Linked DNA regions of Drosophila melanogaster. The protein of the gene in region 1 interacts with the protein of each later gene in a pairwise test. Each region holds a gene or a part of one and is shown on either strand. Other genes may lie near its edges.

What was found.
Region 2: the proteins of mahe (region 1) and Tango6 interact in a two-hybrid assay, tested with the Drosophila melanogaster proteins (one large-scale study listed by BioGRID).

What each region holds. Positions count from the first base shown.
Region 1 is NC_004354.4:7,924,968-7,936,278, reverse strand, and holds the start of mahe (maheshvara), read left to right. Parts: upstream 1-4,896; 5' UTR 4,897-5,405; intron 5,406-5,963; 5' UTR 5,964-5,976; coding exon 5,977-7,485; intron 7,486-7,722; coding exon 7,723-9,051; 3' UTR 9,052-9,514; intron 9,515-9,579; 3' UTR 9,580-11,311. Other genes in the region: RpS14b (ribosomal protein S14b), read right to left, coding at 562-780, 840-1,076; RpS14a (ribosomal protein S14a), read right to left, coding at 1,731-1,949, 2,009-2,245; Dhdds (dehydrodolichyl diphosphate synthase subunit), read left to right, coding at 3,086-3,742, 3,985-4,230.
Region 2 is NT_033779.5:18,962,046-18,973,356, forward strand, and holds Tango6 (transport and golgi organization 6), read left to right. Parts: upstream 1-6,982; 5' UTR 6,983-7,053; coding exon 7,054-7,114; intron 7,115-7,172; coding exon 7,173-9,374; intron 9,375-9,434; coding exon 9,435-9,937; 3' UTR 9,938-9,959; downstream 9,960-11,311. Other genes in the region: Nak (Numb-associated kinase), read right to left, coding at 840-1,070, 1,126-1,424, 1,948-2,519, 2,586-3,138, 3,214-3,347, 3,411-3,544, 6,208-6,370; L2HGDH (L-2-hydroxyglutarate dehydrogenase), read right to left, coding at 10,115-10,502, 10,557-11,311. UniProt on the Drosophila melanogaster protein: May be involved in protein secretion and Golgi organization.

The DNA.
Region 1 (11,311 bases):
GAGTCTTGCAGATATACGAATATGTGCGCACACATACTCGTCGCGGACACACACACAAACACGTACGGAGACGACACCACACAAACAGGCACGCACACGAACAAACATACACTGGCAAGTGTGGCCAAATATATTAGTCGTGCATTGAACTTGCCAATTACGCCGATTTTAGCTTGTTAGTCGCAGATAAATGAACCGCTGGGCCAGCTAGTTTGTTTCTTTGGTGCATGGGTGGCCCTTTAGCTGCTGCCTCTGCGTTCGCGAATGCCTTTAATCCTGCCAACTTCGATTTGCTCCACGAATCCACACACGGTCTTCGTTGGCGTGTATATCAGGATATCGATAGGTCTTGAATTTCATCCAGTGTGACCGCTCTACACCTGCACATACCATTGGTGGTCCCAACCATCACCTATCGATAGCACCACCTAACGACGCGTTGCCACTGGCCACAATGAAACACATGAGCCCAAAAAACATGCCCTTGCCACTGCATTTATGCATGTATTTAATAGTATAAGAATATAAAGCAGCGTCAAAAGCGGGTGGCACGATCCATTTCTACAGACGACGACCTCGGCGACCGCCCTTCCTGCGGGTAGAGTCCGATGGGATAGGGGTCACATCCTCGATGCGGCCAATCTTCATGGACGAACGGGCCAACGCACGCAGAGCGGACTGGGCGCCGGGTCCGGGGGTCTTGGTCTTGTTGCCGCCGGTGGCACGCAGCTTAATATGCAGGGCAGTGATGCCCAGTGTCTTGCACTTCTCAGCCACATCCTGGAGGGAATTGAAACCGTTAGACGGGCTCCAACTGGACCGGAGAGCGCACAACTCACCTGAGCGGCCAACATAGCGGCGTAGGGCGAAGCCTCATCACGATCGGCCTTCACCTTCATGCCTCCGGTGACACGAGCGATGGTCTCACGGCCGGACAGATCCGTGACATGGACGAAGGTGTCGTTGAAGCTGGCGTAGATGTGAGCCACTCCGAACACGATCTCGCCGTCGCGAACTTGGGGTCCCAGCTGGACCTGAACCTCCTCCTTCTGAACTTTAGCCTTTCTTGGAGCCATTCTGCAGAGTCTGGTCGTCGATCAGCAACTAAAAGAGAAAAAAACACCATGTTTATTTGCCGGCTCAAATCACTACAAAAAAAAAAACAACACAAAAAAAAATGGGGGAGAAACAAATTAATTCGCCACCACTTTCACGGCGTCCGCAAAATTTTTCATTTTATGCTAAATCACTGAATCATATTTAGCAGCAACTTTTCGCTTTTGCCGCCAAATAAGTCAATTGCAGTAAAATTGAACAAAAAAAGGGAGAAATAGCAGAAAACCAACCAATTGCGTGCGCCGGATGCGAAAAAAAGAAGGCAAAAACAACACAGCTGGTAATGCGATAGTTATCGACGCATAGTTACTTTGATGGCGCAATCGGGCTACCACCGCGTTGGGCACGCCAGGGTGGCAACTCTTCGGCTTGTAATGTGCAATTTTTGTAAACATTTCGCCAATGTCCTTATAAATCAAATATTGCAGCACTTGCAGACCCCAAACCGAACCCAATGCACACACAAAAATGTCTTGTAGTCATTTACATCGTATTTTCCTGGTTTATTACAGTGCACCTATGCACACGAACAGAAAAGCTTTCTTATCGCATACACAAATGCAGTATTGTATTTCGACCGCAAACATAGACTACTGCTTTCCAGATACTGCCATCTACAGACGACGACCACGGCGACCGCCCTTCCTGCGGGTGGAGTCCGATGGGATGGGCGTCACATCCTCGATGCGGCCAATCTTCATGGACGAACGGGCCAAAGCACGCAGAGCGGACTGGGCGCCGGGTCCGGGGGTCTTGGTCTTGTTGCCGCCGGTGGCACGCAGCTTAATATGCAGGGCAGTAATGCCCAGTGTCTTGCACTTCTCAGCCACATCCTGGAGGGAATTGAAACCGTTAGACGGGCTCCAACTGGACCGGAGAGCGCACAACTCACCTGAGCGGCCAACATAGCGGCGTAGGGCGAAGCCTCATCACGATCGGCCTTCACCTTCATGCCTCCGGTGACACGAGCGATGGTCTCACGGCCGGACAGATCAGTGACATGGACGAAGGTGTCGTTGAAGCTGGCGTAGATGTGAGCCACTCCGAACACGATCTCGCCGTCGCGAACTTGGGGTCCCAGCTGGACCTGAACCTCCTCCTTCTGAACTTTAGCCTTCCTGGGTGCCATTCTGGGTTTGTTTGTCGATCAGCAACTGCGGGAATAGCAAGGGAATTTCCACATTTATACCACGTGTTTCACAAATAAAAACAAATGCGTGCGAACAAACAAAACAAAAAATGTAAAAAAAAATTAGCTGCCGGGCAGCTTGTTTGTCATTTTCAGTCGACGCTCTGAACACTCTGGAGGAAGGCACATTTTTTAAGTTTAGGGGCTCAAAGTCGGGTTTTTTTTCGCAAAAATTAAGAGGGAAAAATTAAAGACGAACCACTTGCGTTAACCGGATATCAAAAAAGAAGGTTGACGTAGCTGTCAAAATGACAGGGTTGCTGAGTTTTGCGATGTTTGGCGATAGCTTATCGATAGGGAGTGTGTCGGGGCTTCAAACCCCAGGTGGATTTAAAAATGCATTCTTTTTTGTGCGTCTTTTAATTGGTTTAGCACTTTTATGAAACATTTATTAGTTTCAGATAGACTTATATTATAATTAAAAGCCACGCCAGAGGAAAGACTTCCAAAAAAAACCGAATAACTGCAGTTTCTGCGCTTATTTTCGTAGACGGTTGATGTCTGGGCTACTCTTCTATCGATGTTGGTTCGTGTATCTGCTTAATGGTATTACATTTATATCTCACAACGGCCACATTTTCATCGTGTCGGTTGGAGTCTATGCTAAATACCGAAATATCGCATATGGTCACACTGCGTTCTATATAAAAGGTTCTAAGTATCGATAGCGTAATAGTCGATTGGCAGCGGTCTAATCACAAGACACCGCAAAAAAATAAATAAATATTTATTTATTTAATTGACTGACATCCAATCTTAATCCAGCTGAATTCAAAGACCATGTCGTGGGTCTCCGACTACAAGTACACATGGACGGAGCGGATAGCGATGCGAACGCTGCGCGCCTGTGGCTACATTCCGCACCACGTCGCCTTCGTGATGGACGGTAATCGGAGGTTCGCCCGCTCACAGCAGATTGATAAGATCGAGGGTCATTCGCGGGGATTCGAGAAGCTTGCGGACTGCCTGCGCTGGTGCCTGGACGTTGGCGTCCGCGAGGTGACCACCTTTGCCTTCAGCATCGAGAACTTCAAGCGTTCCAACGAGGAGGTGGAGGGTCTGTTCAATTTGGCCAGAGAGAAGTTTGCCCGCCTGCTGGAGGAGACTGCTCGACTGGACGAACATGGCATCCGCATTCGGGTGATTGGTAACATCGAGCTACTGCCACACGACTTGCAGAAACTAGTGGCTTCGGCTATGCTTAGCACGGAGCGCAATGACAAGCTCTTCCTGAACGTCGCCTTTGCGTACACGTCGCGGGATGAGATTACGCAGGCGGTGGAAACGATACTGCGGCATGGCAGCCAGGATTTGGCGGGCGAGGACATCAGTGAGCGGTTGCTGGAAGAATGCCTCTACACGCGACACTCGCCGCCACCGGATCTGGTGTTCCGCACCTCCGGCGAGACTAGGCTAAGCGACTTCATGATGTGGCAGGTGTGTAGAAGGATCTCTTCCAGGAACAGTTGTTTTTAGTCACCCCCTTTGGCAGATTTCCCACTTATTTAGTTTGATTAGTGATTAAGTAGTTACCTGTGCCCAATGTTCATTCGTTGAATTTCGCTCTGCGATTGCATCATTTTTATAAAATGCATTTAAAAATTGAGATCTTGACAGTTTTGCGGTCTTTGATAAAGTGGAAAAGCTTAAATATTAAACGACTGTTTTTACCATTTCAGTTAAGCACATCCGTGTTGTACTTCAGCAACGTCCTGTGGCCGCAGATCACTTTCTGGCATTTCCTGGCCAGCATTCTGGCCTACCAGCGTGATCGCTGGCAGCTGGACGACTTTCGGCGAGCGGAGAGGATGCAGAGCTGCCAGCTGGCCAAGGCGACTGACTTCTACAGCGAACGCGTCCAGAATTTCCTGACCACCATCGATGAGGATCGGCGGAAGCTGCTTGTGCGACTGGCCGCCAACTAAGTCCCTTCTGAAGTCCCGCCTGAAGTCCCTTCGATTTCCACATGATGATGATGTTTGTGATATCAGTGGGGAATAAAATCGTGTAAATAGCGTATACCTGTACGTACAGATGCTACTGTTTTCCGGCCTATGCAATAAGGCTATCCGCCTTTCAATATATGTGCCGTTGGAGATTTCATCACCTAAATGCACTTGTTTAAGACATTCAATTAATTTGTAGCCGAATTGTGGGCTTAGCTAGATTGTTTTCACTTTCGGTCGTAAAAAGTGTTTGCCTTCCATTTGATAAGTAAATTAAAGAATTAAAAAAAAAGCAACAATTTGTTTAAATGTGGAGGGGGGAAAGGAATAATTCCAAATTTATGTAAATTGCAATATAACACCCACTTATATTTGTATATTTTATATATATGTACATATGTGTAGCCTTTTAAGAATTGGTATCACAAAACTTTTTTTACGTGCTTAATTTATTTTTATCTAGATATCATTCTTGTATTTTTTATATATCAATTTATTTTGGTAACTCGCTAAATGTTTTTTAATTTTAGTATTTGTTGGTTTTAAATTTTAGCGGTAAATTAAGTGCAATAATGGTTAAACAATATTTATCGATAGTTTTGCAGGTAACTATCGATGCCAAAATACATCGAACGTATCCCATCACCATTGACTTTTGTTCCAGCTTTACAGTTCACATGCAACTTTCTGCTGAGCGCGTTTTTTTTTGTTATAAAAATCTAAAATACAAGAATTAGATTTAGCGAACTGGCTCCTAGTGTTTAACCAAGTACACCTTTAGTTAGCATTACGGTTACTTTCCCGTGGCGAAGGAATAATTGCAAAACCATTAGCTCTCGACAAAAGTTGTGCGAAGCAAAAAGAGAAGTTCGCGAGAAGAAGACGCCTGTGAGCGTGACGAAGAGAGCCGAGCGAGAGAGTGAAGAATATCGAATCGAACGGAACAGGGCCTCGAAAGAGAACGTGAAGGAAACGGATCGAAAAATCGCAGACTTTGACAACCGAAGAAAAACCCACATTCAAGACACAAAATTCCGGTTGCCTGAGGGGCAAATGTCAAATTGCGGCGCATAAATTACATTAATTTAAAGCTCCCCGCACAAGGCTCATCCAAATTTTCACACATAGGCAGCAGTTGTCGCAACAGAAAAAAGGTGAGTGCGTGTGTGTGTGTGGCGTGAAAAAGCGGTGCACTTTTTAAAAGTGTTTTTCTAACTAAATGAGAGCGTGCTCGCGCTTCTTTACCTATGCGGCGCACTCTACTTGTGTGTGTGTGGCGTGAAAACGCGGTGCACTTTTTAAAAGTGTTTTTCTAACTAAATGAGAGCATGCTCGCTCTTCTTTCCCTTTGCGGCGCACTCTACTTGTCTCTCTCGCGCCTGGTTTAGCTCTCCCGCTATTATTTTACCTCTTTGCGTCTCGTGTGCATTTGGCGATGCTGTATTGATTTTTTTCGGTGGTGGCTAGTGGGTGGGTTAAAGAACTGCCCCGCTCTTCACCATTCGAAACTAAGTCCCCCACTTCGTCCGACCCCCTCCCTCATGCCATAAAGCCCCTGCCCAAAAAGTCAAACGCGTTTCGTTTCTCTTTTTATTTTTACTCTGAGAGAGAGAGAGAGGCTCTTGACAGTTACAAAAGTGCAAAGTCTTTGTGGTGGTGTGTGCGAGGTATCTCCATGCGATTTCGCTGAACTTTTGTTCATTTCTCGACAGGATTCAGCACACGATGTTCGCTGGAGCATATGCACCCAACGCTGGGGGCGTTCAGCAGCACACTGGCGGCGGTTACTATGGCAATGGTGCCGCAGCAGGCGCTGGCGGTAGCGGCAACGGGGCCCCACGCCACGAGCGTCAATACTATCCGCGCGGCAATTTCGGCGGTGCCGCCGGGGGAGCTGGCATCAATGGAGCAGCCACTGCGGCTGGAAGCATGCACTTTGGTCAGCCCTATGGCGTGATGACCTATGGCATCCAGAATGGTCTGGGAATGGGAGCCGCCGGTTCTGGTGGCGGCAATCCGTATCGCCAGCAAAACGGTGTTGCATTCGCCGGTAATGGACTTGGAGGAGGCGCCGGTGGCGGATCCGGAGGATCTGGCGGATATGGAGGACAGCGTGGCAAAAATCCAACCTACGCACAGCGTTATCAGAAGCCGAACAACGGCGCCGGAGTTGCTGGTGGCTACCAAAGCAATAACTACAATGCTGCCGCCTTAGGCATGCTTTCCAAAGAGGAGCGCGCCGAGATCCAACGTGAAAAGGCCAAAAATCCCGGCCGAAATTTAGTGAAACCCAAGTGGGAGAACCTCGAGCCCTTCCTCAAAGATTTCTACAACATTCATCCGAATACACTGGCCAAATCAGAGCAGCAGGTGGCCGAGATCCGGCGCGAACTGGAAATCACCGTGTCTGGCAATGAACTACCACACCCGGTGGTCAGTTTCGAGGAGAGCTCGCTGCCCGCTCACGTCATTGAAGAGATGAAGCGCCAGGGATTCACCAAGCCCACTGCTATCCAATCGCAGGGTTGGCCCATTGCCTTAAGTGGCCGCGATTTGGTGGGCATTGCCCAGACCGGTTCAGGCAAGACGCTGGCATACATGCTGCCTGCCATCGTGCACATTGGCAATCAGCCGCCAATAATTCGCGGCGAAGGACCCATTGCTCTAGTGTTGGCCCCCACCCGGGAGCTGGCCCAGCAGATCCAATCTGTCGTGCGAGACTATGGACATCTGTGCAAGCCAGAGATTCGTCACACTTGCATCTTTGGCGGCTCATCGAAGGTGCCGCAGGCACGCGATCTTGACCGCGGCGTCGAGGTGATCATCGCCACACCAGGACGTCTGATTGATTTCCTTGAGAATCGCAACACTAACTTGCAGAGATGCACTTATCTGGTGCTGGACGAAGCCGACCGCATGCTGGACATGGGTTTCGAGCCGCAGATCCGTAAGATCATTGAACAGATTCGTCCCGACCGTCAGGTGGTCATGTGGTCCGCAACCTGGCCAAAGGAGGTGCAGGCCCTAGCCGGAGACTTTTTAAACGATTATATCCAAATCAACATTGGTTCGATGAACCTATCGGCTAACCACAACATTCGCCAGATTGTCGAGATCTGTACAGAAATAGAGAAGCCGCAGCGCTTAGTATGCTTGCTCAATGAGATTTCTCCCATCAAGAATTCGGGAAACAATGGGAACAAAATTATCGTCTTTGTGGAGACCAAGATCAAGGTGAGTTCTAATTCGATAAATGGCTTAAAGAATTCGAAATATTCTTTCGATTTACCATTTTAAATTGTATTTGTTCTCTTTTCGTTTTACTTCGAAGGTTTATCAACATATTCTTTGTTTTTTATAGTTGCATTTTACTTGCAAAAATCCGAAATGACCCGTCAAGAATATATTGTTTATGTGATATTAATTAGAAGCACCCCACTAATTATCAACCGTTTTCTTGCCCTTATCCAGGTGGAGGACATCTTGCAGATCATTCGAGCCGAGGGTTACAACGCCACCTCAATTCACGGCGACAAGACCCAGAATGAGCGTGATTCAGTGCTAAAGGATTTCCGTAACGGCAAGTCCAACATTCTGATTGCCACCGATGTGGCTTCGCGCGGCCTCGATGTCGAGGATCTGCAGTACGTAATTAACTATGATTACCCGAACTCCTCGGAGAACTACGTGCACCGTATCGGGCGCACTGGTCGCTGCCAGCAGCTGGGAACTGCCTACACATTTTTCACGCCTGACAATGCCAAGCAGGCCCGTGAACTGATCTCTGTGCTCGAGGAGGCTGGCCAGACGCCGTCGCAGGCTCTTTTGGATCTTGCTCGTTCGATGCCCAGCTCGGGCGGCTATCGCGGCAACAAGCGCTGGAACAACAACAGCGGCGGGGATCGCAACACTGGCGGTAACAACGGCATCTATCAGCAGCGCAACAACAATCCGCTGAATTACCAGGCCGGTAACAACTATAACAACAATCGCAGCGGCCCCCCAACTGGCAGTAGCTACCAGCAGTATGCCGCTGGCGGCAATACCTATCTGCAGAATGGTGCTGGTGGTGGCGTTAATTGGAATCGCATGAACCAGATGGGACAGGATGGAGGAGCCGGACAACAGCAGCGAAACGGCAACACCTATCGCCCGAGGGCTCCGTTCAACAATGGCGGACCACGCGCCATTATGGGCCATCAGGGTGGCGGCGTCGGAGCTGGTGGAGCAGCCGGCGTAGGCGGTGGCCCACAGCAGCTCATGGCACCCCAGCAGGGCGGACAGTATATGCCACAAGCATACCGCGGACGTAGCCAGTTTGTGCCGCAGGGAGCTGGTGCCGGTGGCATGCCGCCACGATTCCAGCAGTATCCCAAGCGGGAGTACCAGCAACAAGGAGTAACCCACTACGGTCAGCAGGCTTTGCAGCATCAGCAACAACAGCAGCAGGCTGGCCAACAGACCAAGCCGCCCAAGGACGAAAGCAACAAGTATGTTCCGTCGGCTGCGGTGACCAGCTCGCTGGTCCAATACACGCCAGCCAATTCGCCAACGATTGCGGCCGTAGCTGCTGCCGCTGCAGCAGCCGCCGGACGAGCTGCAGCTGCAGCTGTGGCTCCGGCTCCCGGTGCCGCCTATATGTACGATGCGGCCGGTGTTCTCACTACCGCCGCTGCGCCGGGCACCAATCCATATGCCAACCAGTTCAGCATGCCGGCCACCTACTATGCCGCCCAACATCACCAGTTCGCCCAAGCCGTGGCAGGACCCGGACCAGCACCCGGCCAGGCCATCGAGTAGGCGGGACAACAATACGCTAACGCGCTCATGGGACGAAATGGAAGTGGATCGTGGAAAGCTACAACAACAAAAACAACAAGAACAGCAGCAGCAGCTTTAATAAAATCAACCACATTGCAAGCAACAACAACTCAAACAACTATAACAACACCAACGACATGGACAAATGAATCAACAGTTATCCACATAACACATATAAAATCCAAATGCATATGATGATAAATGAACGAATGGATATAATTTTGCCAACATAACAGAGCATAGCAGCTCTTTAACTTTTGACCAAAATCGTTGCCTTTTTGTTTCTATATTTATTCACACCTCACTACTAATATTAGTAGAACATTTGTGTTCTCTTTCGCTTATTTAAGCATTCGCAATTTTTTGTTTGCGATATTGACAACTAACCTTAAATTCGTTAATGTTCTCTGGACAAACTGCCGTTAACCATCAATAACAAGGGGTAAGTTTGTGTTAATTTACATACAAAGTAACTAGTAGTTAATGGATCTTTTCGCCCTACAACAGCCAACGCACGAACATCGCCTTCGAAACCCTTTTATGTTTTCCAAACACAAGGTAAACCGAATCAAAACTCAAGAAAATCCAAAAAGGGAACGATTTTTGTAGTTTTTAAGCTCTTTCACACACAAATCACACACACACACACCCCGACAGTTGCATGTTCTTCGAATGTTTAAAAAGAATTGGGTAGATTATGTTACCAATGTTATGTTATATTTTTTCTTAGTATAGCCATTTGGTATATGTTATACTAAGAAAAAAAAAATGATCCAGGGACAGACACTGTTAATTAATTGATTTTCGAAAATTCATGTGTATCAATCTTTACACAAAGCTAAGAACACAAGCACGCAACCAAAAAACACGAAAATATTGTATTCGAAAATTGTCAAAAACAATGAAAGGCATTGAAAGAAAAACCCTTTTCGCTAACTTGGTTGGTATGAAAGGACGGTTTGCTTATAATAACACATATTTAAATACATTTTTAATTATTTAAATATATATATATATATATATTTAGATATATATATTTATATATATTTTTTTTTCCGAGAAAATTTTGCAGCAAACAATTACAACAAAGGGAAAACTAACAAAATTCTACACAAATTCCTTTTAAGAAAACGCAGCTAACGGTTGAGATATTTGTATAATGTACAACACACATGTTTTGGCCGAATCCAAAATAAGAGAAAAGGGAAATGGGCAGCGCTGCTTTGGTAGGAAGTATGTTAAATTAAAACTAACAAAACTAAAACAAGTTACAATCGGTAATAATAAAACGATTATAAAGCAATGGGAGAACACGTACACAGCCACATAGAACCCCCACAAGCACACGCACGCACACACACATTGACACTCAACACACACACACAACGAACATCACAATGACAAGCAAATTTACAGTTATCATTTAATTTCCCATTTTGATACATATACGTGTGTATTCTATATATGCTATATATATATTTACATCTATATGTAGATTCGAGCTTGATTTTCAATGGAGATTAAAACAAAAACTCATTTTGTTGAAGATTTATAGAATTCGATAATAATCCCCTAACACAAAAATTCGCATAAATTAACGAGGTTTTTTCAAAAGTTCTATGCAAATACTTGAAAAAAATTCAATTACAATTTTCAATTATTCAAAGACCAAAGAACAGAAGCAGATGAAAATAAGAAGAAAGAAAGCGAAGAAAAAAGAAAAGACGCCACATTCATCCATAAAAACAATTAAAGCGAACACGAAACAAGAGGAAAAGAAGGAGGAACACAAAACAAGGTTAGAAGATCAAATAATGCCAAGCAATGCCACACGAAAATAATGATAATAATAATACAGCAAACATAATGCATACTTCTGACTATTCCAAAAGCTCTTTTTTTATTTCCCCATATCTTATTAATTGATTTGAAAATCATTTTGATTTGCATTATTAATTTCTCTCTCTTCCGAATACTTTTGGCCAGAGTTCAGGACGAGTAAATTAGTAGTAGTAACATTAATTGGCAGCTCCAGTCATATAGTTAGCAGTAATATATCCATATATCGTCTGTTCAAGCAGTTGTCCATGTTGTTGCAAGCAGTGCGTTATCCTCGCCACGGGAAAGCAGTACAAAAATCCGAAGAATTTTGGGAAAACGTAACGGACACAAGGGAATATTCTACAGTGGAATTGTATGAGAACAAGAACACAAGGAAAATATATGAAAAGTCATGTAG
Region 2 (11,311 bases), on another chromosome or scaffold:
TTTTTGAACCACAACCGCTAATTTATTACCATTAAGAACTAAATTAACTTAATACCTAGATATAATATATTCAAATATATGATTTATTAGTTTTGGGTTGGTTTTCTGATAATTTGTATCAAGCACAGTACCAGCACCAAGTATTACTTTTTTAGAAGCGCGCAGATTGATGATGGTTACGGAAATGGAGGGACGGGAAAAAAGTTATTTCTTTTCGAAATAAACAAAAGTTAATAACGGAATTTGAATATTTACCAAAAAAAAATAAAACTTTTCATGACGAAATATAATTTTATGGGGGTATAATTTTTGGAAAACATAAGATTGGTGGTATTTTTCACCAAATAGGTTTAAGGATTTACAGCTCACTTTGAAGAAAACATATTAATCACCGAATAAACTCATATGACAAAAGATAAGAAGGTTCGTCGAGATATTTTTGGTTGGTTAGTAGGTGCATGGGGTATTTACAAATTGATTGATTGCACTTAAGTAGTATTCGCGGGTCATTCCCCATCTATATGGCACGCTAAATTTTTCGATCGAGCAGCGATCGGCTAGTATACGGTTAATTTATTGCTGGAGCTGATCGAATCTTACGGCGGCTGCCGATGTGGTCTGGAAGCGGCTCCTTGGATGGAGGATATCGAGGAGATCGCCTTGGCGGCACTTTGCTGAGTTGAGCATAGCGTTACTAGGAAGTTTTTAGACTACGTCTACGTCTACGTTCAAATCACTTTCACTTTCTGGATTGAGATTGAGAGCGAACAAAAGCGACAATCGGAAAACTAAACGTATTCTGGCATTGCAAACAGTTAAGGTAGAATTTCATGCTTTACCTCCGGTTTTGCGCAGCGAGCTCGCCTTCTCGCGCAGTCCGGGTGGCAAACTGAATGGCGCCGATCCGAATGGATCCTCGGAGACCTGCGACGGGTAAGGAGACACAGCGGCAGCAATCGGCGGAGGAGGCACTGCACCAGGAGCAGCTGTAACAGGAGCCACAACCGCAGAGGGAATCTGCTCCGTTGGTGTTAGCGTGGAAGTTGTGGATGCCGATTTTGCTGTGATGCCTGAAAGCATTAAAGAAGTTAATATTGCGGCAAAACGCTCTCTTCCAAAACGTACTTCCTTGACTGCCTCTCTGTCGTATCTTGTCGAACTCCGCCTCAAAGATGTGATCCTCAGTCATCTGGCTGAAAGGCTGCTCCTCTTCGAACGGATTCCAGGCTTCAACTCGCTTTTCCACCGCCGTTTGTCCTGGTTTCATTAATTCGCTAATGGATACCGCGGCTGAGTTTGCCGTTGAAGATGCATATATCCCGGGATTCGAGGCAGCACTAGCCAAAGTCTGCTGACCGTCGCCCATGGCAGCCAAGTTATTGTTAAACGGAGCCAGAAACTGACTTGTCTCATTGGCAAAAGTTCTGGAGCGCAACAAAACAAATGAATGATTAGATGATCAGCGAGTGATGGAAGAAAATTAATAATAAGGAAAAAGAGCAAGCAAAGCAGGAAAAGTAAGTACGGGAATGCAAGAGATCTTAAGGCTACAATGAATCTATTGACTCTGTGGCTCATCGGCCTCATCCTGGTCACTTGTAGCTCTTAAGGATCGGGAATTCACAGAAAGAGACAAGCAGAGAGTGAGTAAAAGAGCAAGAGAAGAGCAGAACACAGAACACATACAGATCGTGCAGGACCAACGCATTTGGAAATGTCTAACATCAAGAATATTTAAATATTTATGAAACCATATATCTTAATTTTCAGGCTGAAACCTTTGGGGGAAAGCAATTATATTGATTCTGGCCGAGTAAACTTTAAAAACGATAACAAGACACAACTTTTGTGCTTAAACAGGTAACTAAGATAGGAATTAAAATTTGTAGAATCAAAATGTGTATTCTTGATTTTAGATTAGCTTCTGTTTTCTTGTATGCAACTTACTTATTGAAGGCCGAGGTGTCGCTTACGTTACGCCTATGACCACCTCCTCCGCTTGGCTTGGGCGGTGTCAACATGCTCTTGGTGGGCGTGCCTGCAATGACGTTTAAGTCCTGAGGCACTTCCTCCTTGTTAGGTTCTTCTGCTGCTGGTAGAAATTCAGTAGGAATTACTGCTGCAGCTGGCTCATTGAATGGATCTGGATAGCCACTTGACTCGAAGAGTTTACTGGCAGCAGGAGCTGCCGGAGTAACAGCTTGAGGAGGTGGAGGAACAGCAGGTGGCATAGCTGGGAAGTTGGCCTGGAACTGCTCGACCACAGGTTGAGGTTGGGGTTGTGGAGAAGTGATATTCTGTCTTGGCGAGGGACTGGGAGGCAAACCGAGACCCAATGGATTTCCTCCATGTACCGATGAGGAACCCTTAGGACGAGACCGAGGAGCTACACTGGTTCCCGCCTCCACAACTGACACATTCTGAGCCTTCGCCGCCTTGGAGGCCGCTGCACTGATCCTCTTGGCTTCCGATTCAAACGGAGGCACTACCAGTAGGTCGAAGTTTGGAATGGGAGTTTTCTGATTAAAAATAAGCAAACAGATTATCATACAGGAATCTGAACACAAACATTATGCATCACTCACATGGAGATTCTGAACGGGATTATCCTTGCCCGCCAGTCGAAAGGCCACCTCGCAAACTTGCCAAATGTTTGGTCGCTTCTCCATATCGGGTTCCAACATATATTTAATCAGTTGGTGCATGCCCTTCGAGTACTTTGAGGAGTCTGGAATGGAAAACTGTCCATTCTGGATAGCCAAAGTGCTCTCCCCAAATGGCAAGGAAAAGAAGCACAGCTTATAGAGCATGCAACCCAGTGCCCAGATGTCCGCCTTTGTGGTTATGCTCTTGCCCCCGTACAGGTCGATCATCTCGGGAGCCCGATAAGATAGAGTGGTGTACTTTTGGATCTCTTCCTGCACCACGGTGACTCCGTGCTGTTGAGGATTTAACGTCTTGGCCGTTGCCGATCCGAAGTCGCAGAGTACGAAGTTGCCCGCGTCCGTTTGCAGAATGTTCTCCACCTTAAGATCCCGATGGATAATCGGAGTCTGACAATAGTGCAATCGAGAGACAGCCTCGGCAATATCACAGAAGATGTTGAGCACCTCTGGCTCCGTGAAGCCAACGTGCAATCTGTGGCGAATTTCATTGGATTACATTCGAATTCCGCAATCAAATGGACTACATTTTTAGATTCACTTCGTTTACCTCGCATTCATCATGGCCAGCATGTGATGCTTGCAATAGGGCATCAGGAGTAGCACCTCGCACACCCCGTTTCCCGTGGGCGTGATGCTGGAGTCCACATAACCAATGATGTTTTTGTGCCCACTCAGGTTGCTCTGGGGGAGTGAAAGTGATTGCCCTATTAGATTAGGTTTGTTTGTCCCGATTTATTTACTCACCGCAATCTGTATCTCCCGCTTGGCTACGTTCAGATCGTGCTCATTGTTGACGTACATGCGCTTCAGGGCGTACTTGGTCGCCGAGGAACTGCCTCCGCCGTTGCCCCTTGCCAAAAAGACCATGGCGAAACCACCTGCGTGAGTTTTGAAGAGATGGGGAAGAGAAAAACAGAGCATTAGAGCATGGGGTAAGTTGACGGGCTAGACATCCATAACAGCTGTCAGCTGTAAACAACATAGCATATTTGAATGGGGGAGGAAACTGCGAGTAAGCTAAACCCGATGAATACCCTGTTATTGTATATTCATAATACATATATACGAATATTTTATTTTATATGGCAGGAAGTAGCTAATTAATAAACTAATTTGTTTATTAAAAGGAAATATGTGTCACATTTTTATAGCACACGTATCTTTGGCCATTCCTTCCCACATAATTTATGCCATATATCTACGTGATAATAATGGAATTTCTTTACTATAAACATTTCACGTTCACAAATATCCCCCCGTGGTGTTAAAATAGTAGAGGGTACCCGAATTCGAGTGATAGCAGTTACTGTCTGGCCATGGAACGATTTACACATGTTTTGCCTAACAGGCCATTTGCATGAGGTTTATTTCAGTTTATTGCAAATAGAATTTCAAGTAGAATGCCCCCACATTTCAGCCCTCTCCACCTGTCGCTTTACGCCACTTCAAAATGTACGATAAAAAGGCAACGCAATATAAACTAAACTATTGAAGGTCACGTACAGAAATAACAACAATAACATGCGACAATAACAATACTCAGCGGGGGAAGGCGGTGGGGCGGCAAAATAAAAAGATAGGAACAGTGGTCACTAAGAAAAAAACATAAAAATATATATTAGATATAAAATGAAATGATATTAGAAAAAAAAATGATCTCAATACATTAGATGCATAGACGATGCAACGATTAGGAGAATGTTTTAATATTGAAAATATTTATGGAACATTTGCTGTAAATGCACACACCATTTCTCCCTGTGTAGGCGATAGAGAGAAGTGAATAGCGGACCAGCAAATGTAACCATTTTTGCTCGACTTTGTGAAATTATGGCGTCAAATGTTAATCAATGCTGAAGGTTGCAACAGCAACAAATCAACATTGGCAAAAAGTACAGCAACAACATCCAGTAATAATAGTATGAAAAGCAACAATAACAATGCACAATTGTAGCGATGCGAGAAAACGCGAGAAGGCAATTCGAAACGCAAACGAGGGTAGAAAATACGTCTGAAGGGGCGTCAACTGCAAGGTGGGCAGTAAGCGGTTAAGGGTGGGGGCTGAGGGGTTAAGGCGGGAAAGCTTCATTCGTTAACCGTTTGTCGCTTAGTCATTTGTAATTGTTGTTGGCTGCTCAAAAATCGAATCAAAGAAAGCAGGTAAATATTGAAGGTGATTAAGCACAGTGTTACTTTGGAAGTATCCAGCATATCGAGCAGTTTAAACTTGGCTATACGCGCATTTTATTCATTGAGCATCTGCAAAAGACTCTATTTATTTTTTCTCTTTCTTAAATGAAATACCAATAGTTACGTTACTGGATTAAATGAATTAATAAATAATATATAATTTAGTTTATAATTTGTTATACTAATTCAATAACTTTAACCAAATAACCGTGTTCGTCAAACGCTCCGCCTTTTTAATTACAGGGTATGCCCGACAACAGCTGACTAATTGCCAGCGGCGCCAGCGCAGCGCAAAACAAAATTACGAATCGAGTCCGCTTGCCAAAAGTATAAAAAGTAAAAAACACTACGTAATGGCTAAAGGAAAGGTGGCGAATGGCTGGCCAGGCGGTGGGTGAGCAATCGTTAGATGATCAAATGTTGGGCGGAGGGTACTGGTGCCAGGCCAACAAGGAGGCACTTGCACTGCAGGATGATGTGGAGTGGAGCACTCCGCATTTCAAGGACAAGGACACAGCACAGGCGATTTCCTTAGGGGCGAACTTTGCCATTTAGCTCGGCGAAAGGTGAAAAACGGAAGACTGTCGGAGACAGTCGGCTGATGAGTGTTGGTCTTGCCGCTTCATTGGCTAAATTAACATAATTGATTCAATTGATTTGTGGCCATGTGTAGTGGCTACGGGAATTCAATGGGTATTCCATGGAAAAACCAACCAGAACCGTAACTGTGTTTGTACAGTCGGGTTTCTCTAACGCGGACACCCATTTGTCACAATAGAAATGCTGGCATTTCTGGTTTTGGCAAAAATAAACTCTTTAAAGACTGACATAAATTTGGACGAAATATCTGCACGCCATTAGAGAGCCGAGTTATGGACATAAATATGTAGTTCTATGCCAAGGGCAAAATTGCAGTTCAATTAGTTGGAATTTAGGTTACAAACCAGTATTTAGTATTCATAATTAATGAAATAATTTAAAATGTTTTACAGTTTTATTAAAAGATAATATATCAAAGTCAGATTTTAGCTGTTTTGAGTTTAACATCTTATACAGAAATTATTGGGAGTAATTTATTTGGATTTAATCGGAAATGCGACAAGTGGTGTCCCCAATTATGGAGGATACGCAGCTGATTTTTATGCTCTCTAGCGCTTTGAGTACGCCCCACATTTGGGAGTTCTCGCGCTGAAGGGGTTTATCTAATCTGTGACGAGGGGCGAGACCGAAAAGCGGACGGCAGGCTACTGCCCACCTGTAAATCAGGCAGGTGATAAGCATAATCGCGGGCGACGTGTTGTAGGTAGGGGAATGGGAGCACATATATAAGAGTGTATATATAGTCGTCTACCTTCTGCCAGGACATCCTCCACGGTGACCGTGACGCGTCCCACTGTGAAGACCTTGCCCACGAAGCTGTTCTTCTCGTTCGAGGACGACGAGCTGCTGCTGTTGGGCGGATTCTCCAGTCGAGAGTTCTCATTGCGCTCGAACTTAGACAGGATTTTCTTCATTTTCCCCCGATTTTCACTAGAAAATGTTTACTGCCCCAGCAGCACAACACACACACACACACTCGCGAGCACACACGCACACTAGCTAACACGGTCTTAATTGCCTGCGCGTAGGTGTTTTTGGCAATTTTTAATTTTGCGAGGGCGGCTGACGGTGGGCGGGGCGTCGGTGCCGCTGGCCAATTAATCCACTTTCGAGTCGTATCGGCTAGCTGAATAAAGCTATTCTGCGCACTTTGTGTTTTTGCATGCACACACACAATGCAGTGGAAAAAGAAAGTTGTTCGATTTTCCTGCTGCTCTCGAGTTGTTGGGCCAGTGTGACCAGGGCGCTTTGCTGCAGTCAGATGCGCAACCCGCGGCTGGTGCAGCCGCCTATCGATATATAGATAAGTTGGTTGCAATCTCGAAATTCTGAAAACAAGGAAATCCCCGTTTACAAAATAGGTTTTATGATAACAATTTTTTGTAATTTGATCCAATTTAAAAAGATAATATGGTTCTACTTTCAATAAAACATATAGCTACAGTTGCATTAAACTATCGCGCAGTTTTAATTAGCTATGCTGCCAACATCGTGTTTCCCTTATCAATATGTTATCGATTGTGCTGGTGCAATTGTAAACAAGCATCTCTAGCAAATGGTCGCTAAATTCGCAAAATTGTAGTTTGCTGGGATAACAATGATAAATACGGCCAAGTACTTTGCTCTTCTAGAGAGTTTAAGGTTTAGTAAAGCTCTAGGTAAATTGGTTAACATCATATAATAATTGTAGTATCCCTAATACTAATATTTCGACAGCAAATACGGCGAATAACTCAGGGACTGCCGAAGCCTTGGAAATCAACCTGCGAATTTTGGAAAAATATGCTAAACTCGAGATTGGTCAGCAATTGCATGAGCTGTGCCTGGAATATCAGTTAACAGACGATCACGAATCTAGTATTGATCCCGATTCGGATCGTACTATATGCTATATAATAAGATTGCAACATGTGCTACATTCGATCATGAGGAACATTAATTTCCACAGCGACGCCAAGGAGGATCTTATTTCGGTAGCGCACCTGAAATTGTGTATCCAGGCTTCCCAAGAATTATCATATTACTCGCTTCGATGCCAGCTACATGAGGATTTCTACAAGTCGCCCATCTTTTGTGAGGCTCAGGGGAAAATCAAAGCTAACTTTTCATTGATGCTTCTAAGCATTCAGTTCTTTATTAATCTACTGCATATTCGACAATACCACATAGCCAACTCGATGGAGCTGGTGCAAAGGGATCTACTGGCGGCCATTGTGAGTCTACGTGTGCAGCAAGACTCTCCACTGCTGGATAAGGCTATAGCCTACCTCTGGCAATATGAATCCAAAGCAGATTTCTTTCGCAACATCTTGCTTTTTAAAGCTACGACTCTCTGCCCAACTCTGGCCCAATTATTGCACCGTCAACTCTTAGGAAAGCTTCACTTACCCCAAGGATTTGCTAGTCTTGTTGAGGCCCTGCATCAAAATCCCAATGTGAATTCTTCCAGAAATGCGGAAATTGTGGCTAGTATTGTGGCCAGAAAAGGATTTTCTCAGTTAGCGCAAGAGAAGATGGTTCTCCAGGTGCTAGAATATTGTAAGTTCTATCTGCAGAATGCGGACAAAATGTGCGCCGGTGTCCTATCGCTCAGAAGACTTTACGATTTAAGTGATACAAATCAAAAGCTGATAAAAGAAATATTATTCAAACACTGGGAAACGCTTTGTAACCCAGAAGACATTATTAATGGCCTTATCTTAATGGATCACCAGGAACTGTGCAATCGCATTCTCTTATGGCAGCATCTCTTTTGTTCTTCAACCGTAGCTTGCTTACCCAGTAATCTACTCGTTCCCTACCTTCCTTTGCTGCTCCAACTCTACGATGGCCTTCCAATGGAATTACCGGCGTCATCGCAGATTTCTGCCATTATTTTGCGTTGTCTGGACAACAGAGAAATGAAAAACGAATTACCTGCGATACTCCAGAAGCTGTTTAAATGGGAAATTGAGAAGGAACCTCCTTGGAAGTGTTTAAACCCACGCATTATAATCCTGCCTTCCATGAACACAACTCAAATTCAGGTTAAAGTAGCTCACAAAGATCATCTAGCAGATCACGATATGGGCAGAATATTGCCCGGTCTACTCACATCAAGCTCTCATCATTCCCTCACCTGCAAAGTTTTCCTCTCTCTTCTGGGCTTCATAGCTAAACAGATAAATGATAAATCTTCAGCCAGCGTAGATTTTATTTCATCAGAAGCAGAGCTCAAAGACTTTCTGCACTCCAAATATCAACTGAAGCTAGATTTGCTCATTGCTTTAAACCAAATGGTAGCCCACCAACCATTAAGAGCTCAGCTATCACAACATACCAAGGAGCTTCTACATATACTAAAAGACTTGCTTGTCCACCGATCTAGAGAGCAAGATACCACGGATCAGATCCTACTTCTCGTTCTAAACCTCTTGCAGGAAATTCTTGAGGGCAGTGAGAATATTCAACTTTCAGAGGCCTGTAAGGAACTGAAAGAACAATTGCACCTGTTGGGTACTCGATCTTCCAACCCTCTTATCCAGCAATCTGTAAAATCATTGCTTACAATAATTCACGGCGCATGGCGACCAAGTGAGGCTGTTAAAATACAACCTTTTCAAAGAGCTCGGTCCTTGATAGAGGAAAAACAATCCCACATGCAAGTGTATGGAATTCAGATGATGATTGATTTGCTGAAAAAAAGAGATCCTGCTACCTTAGCGCAGGGTCAACTTATCATAGCGTTAGCCCTGACCACTCTCAAGGATAAGGAATCCTACACCTTCTTAAATTGTGTTCGGCTCTTTGTGTCGCTTGTTCATGTGATGGAGTCCGATGTGCTGGACAAATTGAGTGATGAGTACCTATCAGAGACGGCTCACTTAGACTACCGCCTCGTAGTGGGTGAAGCTATTCTGAAAGTCGCTCAGGAGTTGGGTAAGCAATGTTCTACACAGCTAAGAATAACTCCTAAACTTTCATACTAATCCCATCCAGGTCCTCTTTGCTTTCGATACAAGGCTGTTCTTCTCAACTGCTTCATGTACGGCTCCCGGTCTCCTGTTCACGAATTCCGGATGTCAGCCTTTGCCAATCTTGCCCAGCTTTGTCGCCTTTTGGCCTTTCAAGTGCAGAACTTCTTCCACGAGTTACTCCAACTTGTTAATAGCGAATTAACCACCGGAGGATATGTTCCCTCTAAGCGTGCAGCAGTCCTGGTCTTAGCTGAACTATTAAACGGCATGGAGAACCTTCTGGATTACCAGGAAATGTTACTCCCCATTTATCGCCTTTTAAAAGCGATTGAAGCGGATGAATCCTGTGATCCTCAAATGCGTCAGCATGCTGCAAACGGTCTGAAAATTTTAAACAAAAAGTGCACAAAACTGATACAATCTGCCTTGGAGGAGAAATCATTACAGAAGCAGATTAAGGTGTTGGGCATTAAGGACGATGATTCACCTCAAAGAAGAAACCGACATATACTGGAACTGAATTAAAGGCTATCTTAGAAACCTACACAAGTTTTAATTTTGTTTTATACACAATAGATCAATATTACAGTTTCGAAAAGAAATGCGATAGTGGCGAATCAGTACAGACATTACTGACATAAAGGCAGAACAGAAAATAGGACTTAGTTTTGGACTTTGGTTACATTATTTGGGATAGAGGCATCACTTGCCGATAGAGAACTCATTCTCGATCTTGTCTGCGATCATCTTGGCAATGGCCAAGCTACTAGTAGCGCCCGGCGATGGGGCGTTTCTGCAGTGAAGCACTCGCTTGGCTAGCGCTCCCGATCCTTGTCCGCGATCGAAAACAAAATCGTCCACCAGATTGCCATCCAGATCCATTGCTTGGGCACGTACTCCAGCGGGACCACGCTGGATATCGTACTCCGTAATATCCGGGATGTACTTCTGCAACGCCTTGATCTGCAGGTTAATGAACCACGATTTGGACATCTCGCTGAGTCCGAAACCGATGTACTTGCTCGCCATCTTTACGAAGCCCGGATAGCGCAGGGCGTCGAAAAGCTCGAAAAGATTAATGTCACCCCAGCTGGAAGAAGTGAAGTGTCAGACAAGTTTAAATATGAGCTCTAAGAAGACTTACGTGTAACCTTCGCGTTTCAGAGCCAGAACGGCATTTGGTCCCAGCCAGATAGATCCGTCCATTCGCGGCGTAAAGTGAACTCCCAGGAAGGGGAAACGTGGATCCGGCACCGGATAAATATTACCCTTGACCATATGCTGTTTTTCCTTGGTCAGCAGCAGATACTCTCCACGGAAAGGCACGATGCGGGGGTCTCTGGGGCATCCAGTCTTCTCAGCCAGCAGGTCGGATTGCAAACCGCCACAGGTTAATACGTTCTTGGTACGAACCGTTTGACCGGGCTTAGCGCCATGGATGGTCACTGGGTAGTCGGTGCCCTCCTTGGTCTCGGTAAACTTGCTGACATTGAAGTCCAGGTAGATATCACCACCGCACTGTTTGAAATCCTGACCATAATGCTCGGTAACCAATCCCCAGTCAACGATACCAGTGTGCGGACTGTGGAGCGCCATCACTCCCTGGCAGTAGGGTTCGATCTCCTGAATCTCGCTGCCTTCGATCATTCGCAGATCCGGTACGTTGTTGGCAATGCCACGCTTCTCCAAATCCTTCAGCAGCTTCACTTCTTTCTCATCCGTGGCCACAATTAGCTTCCCGGTTTTCTTGTACGGGATCTTTTTTTCATCCAGATAAGCGTAGGCCAAATGCATGCCCTCCACGCAAAGGCGGGCTTTCAGGGTTCCAGGCTTATAGTAGATGCCAGCATGGATGACGCCGGAGTTGTGGCCGCTCTGGTGCTTTGCCAGCTTGCACTC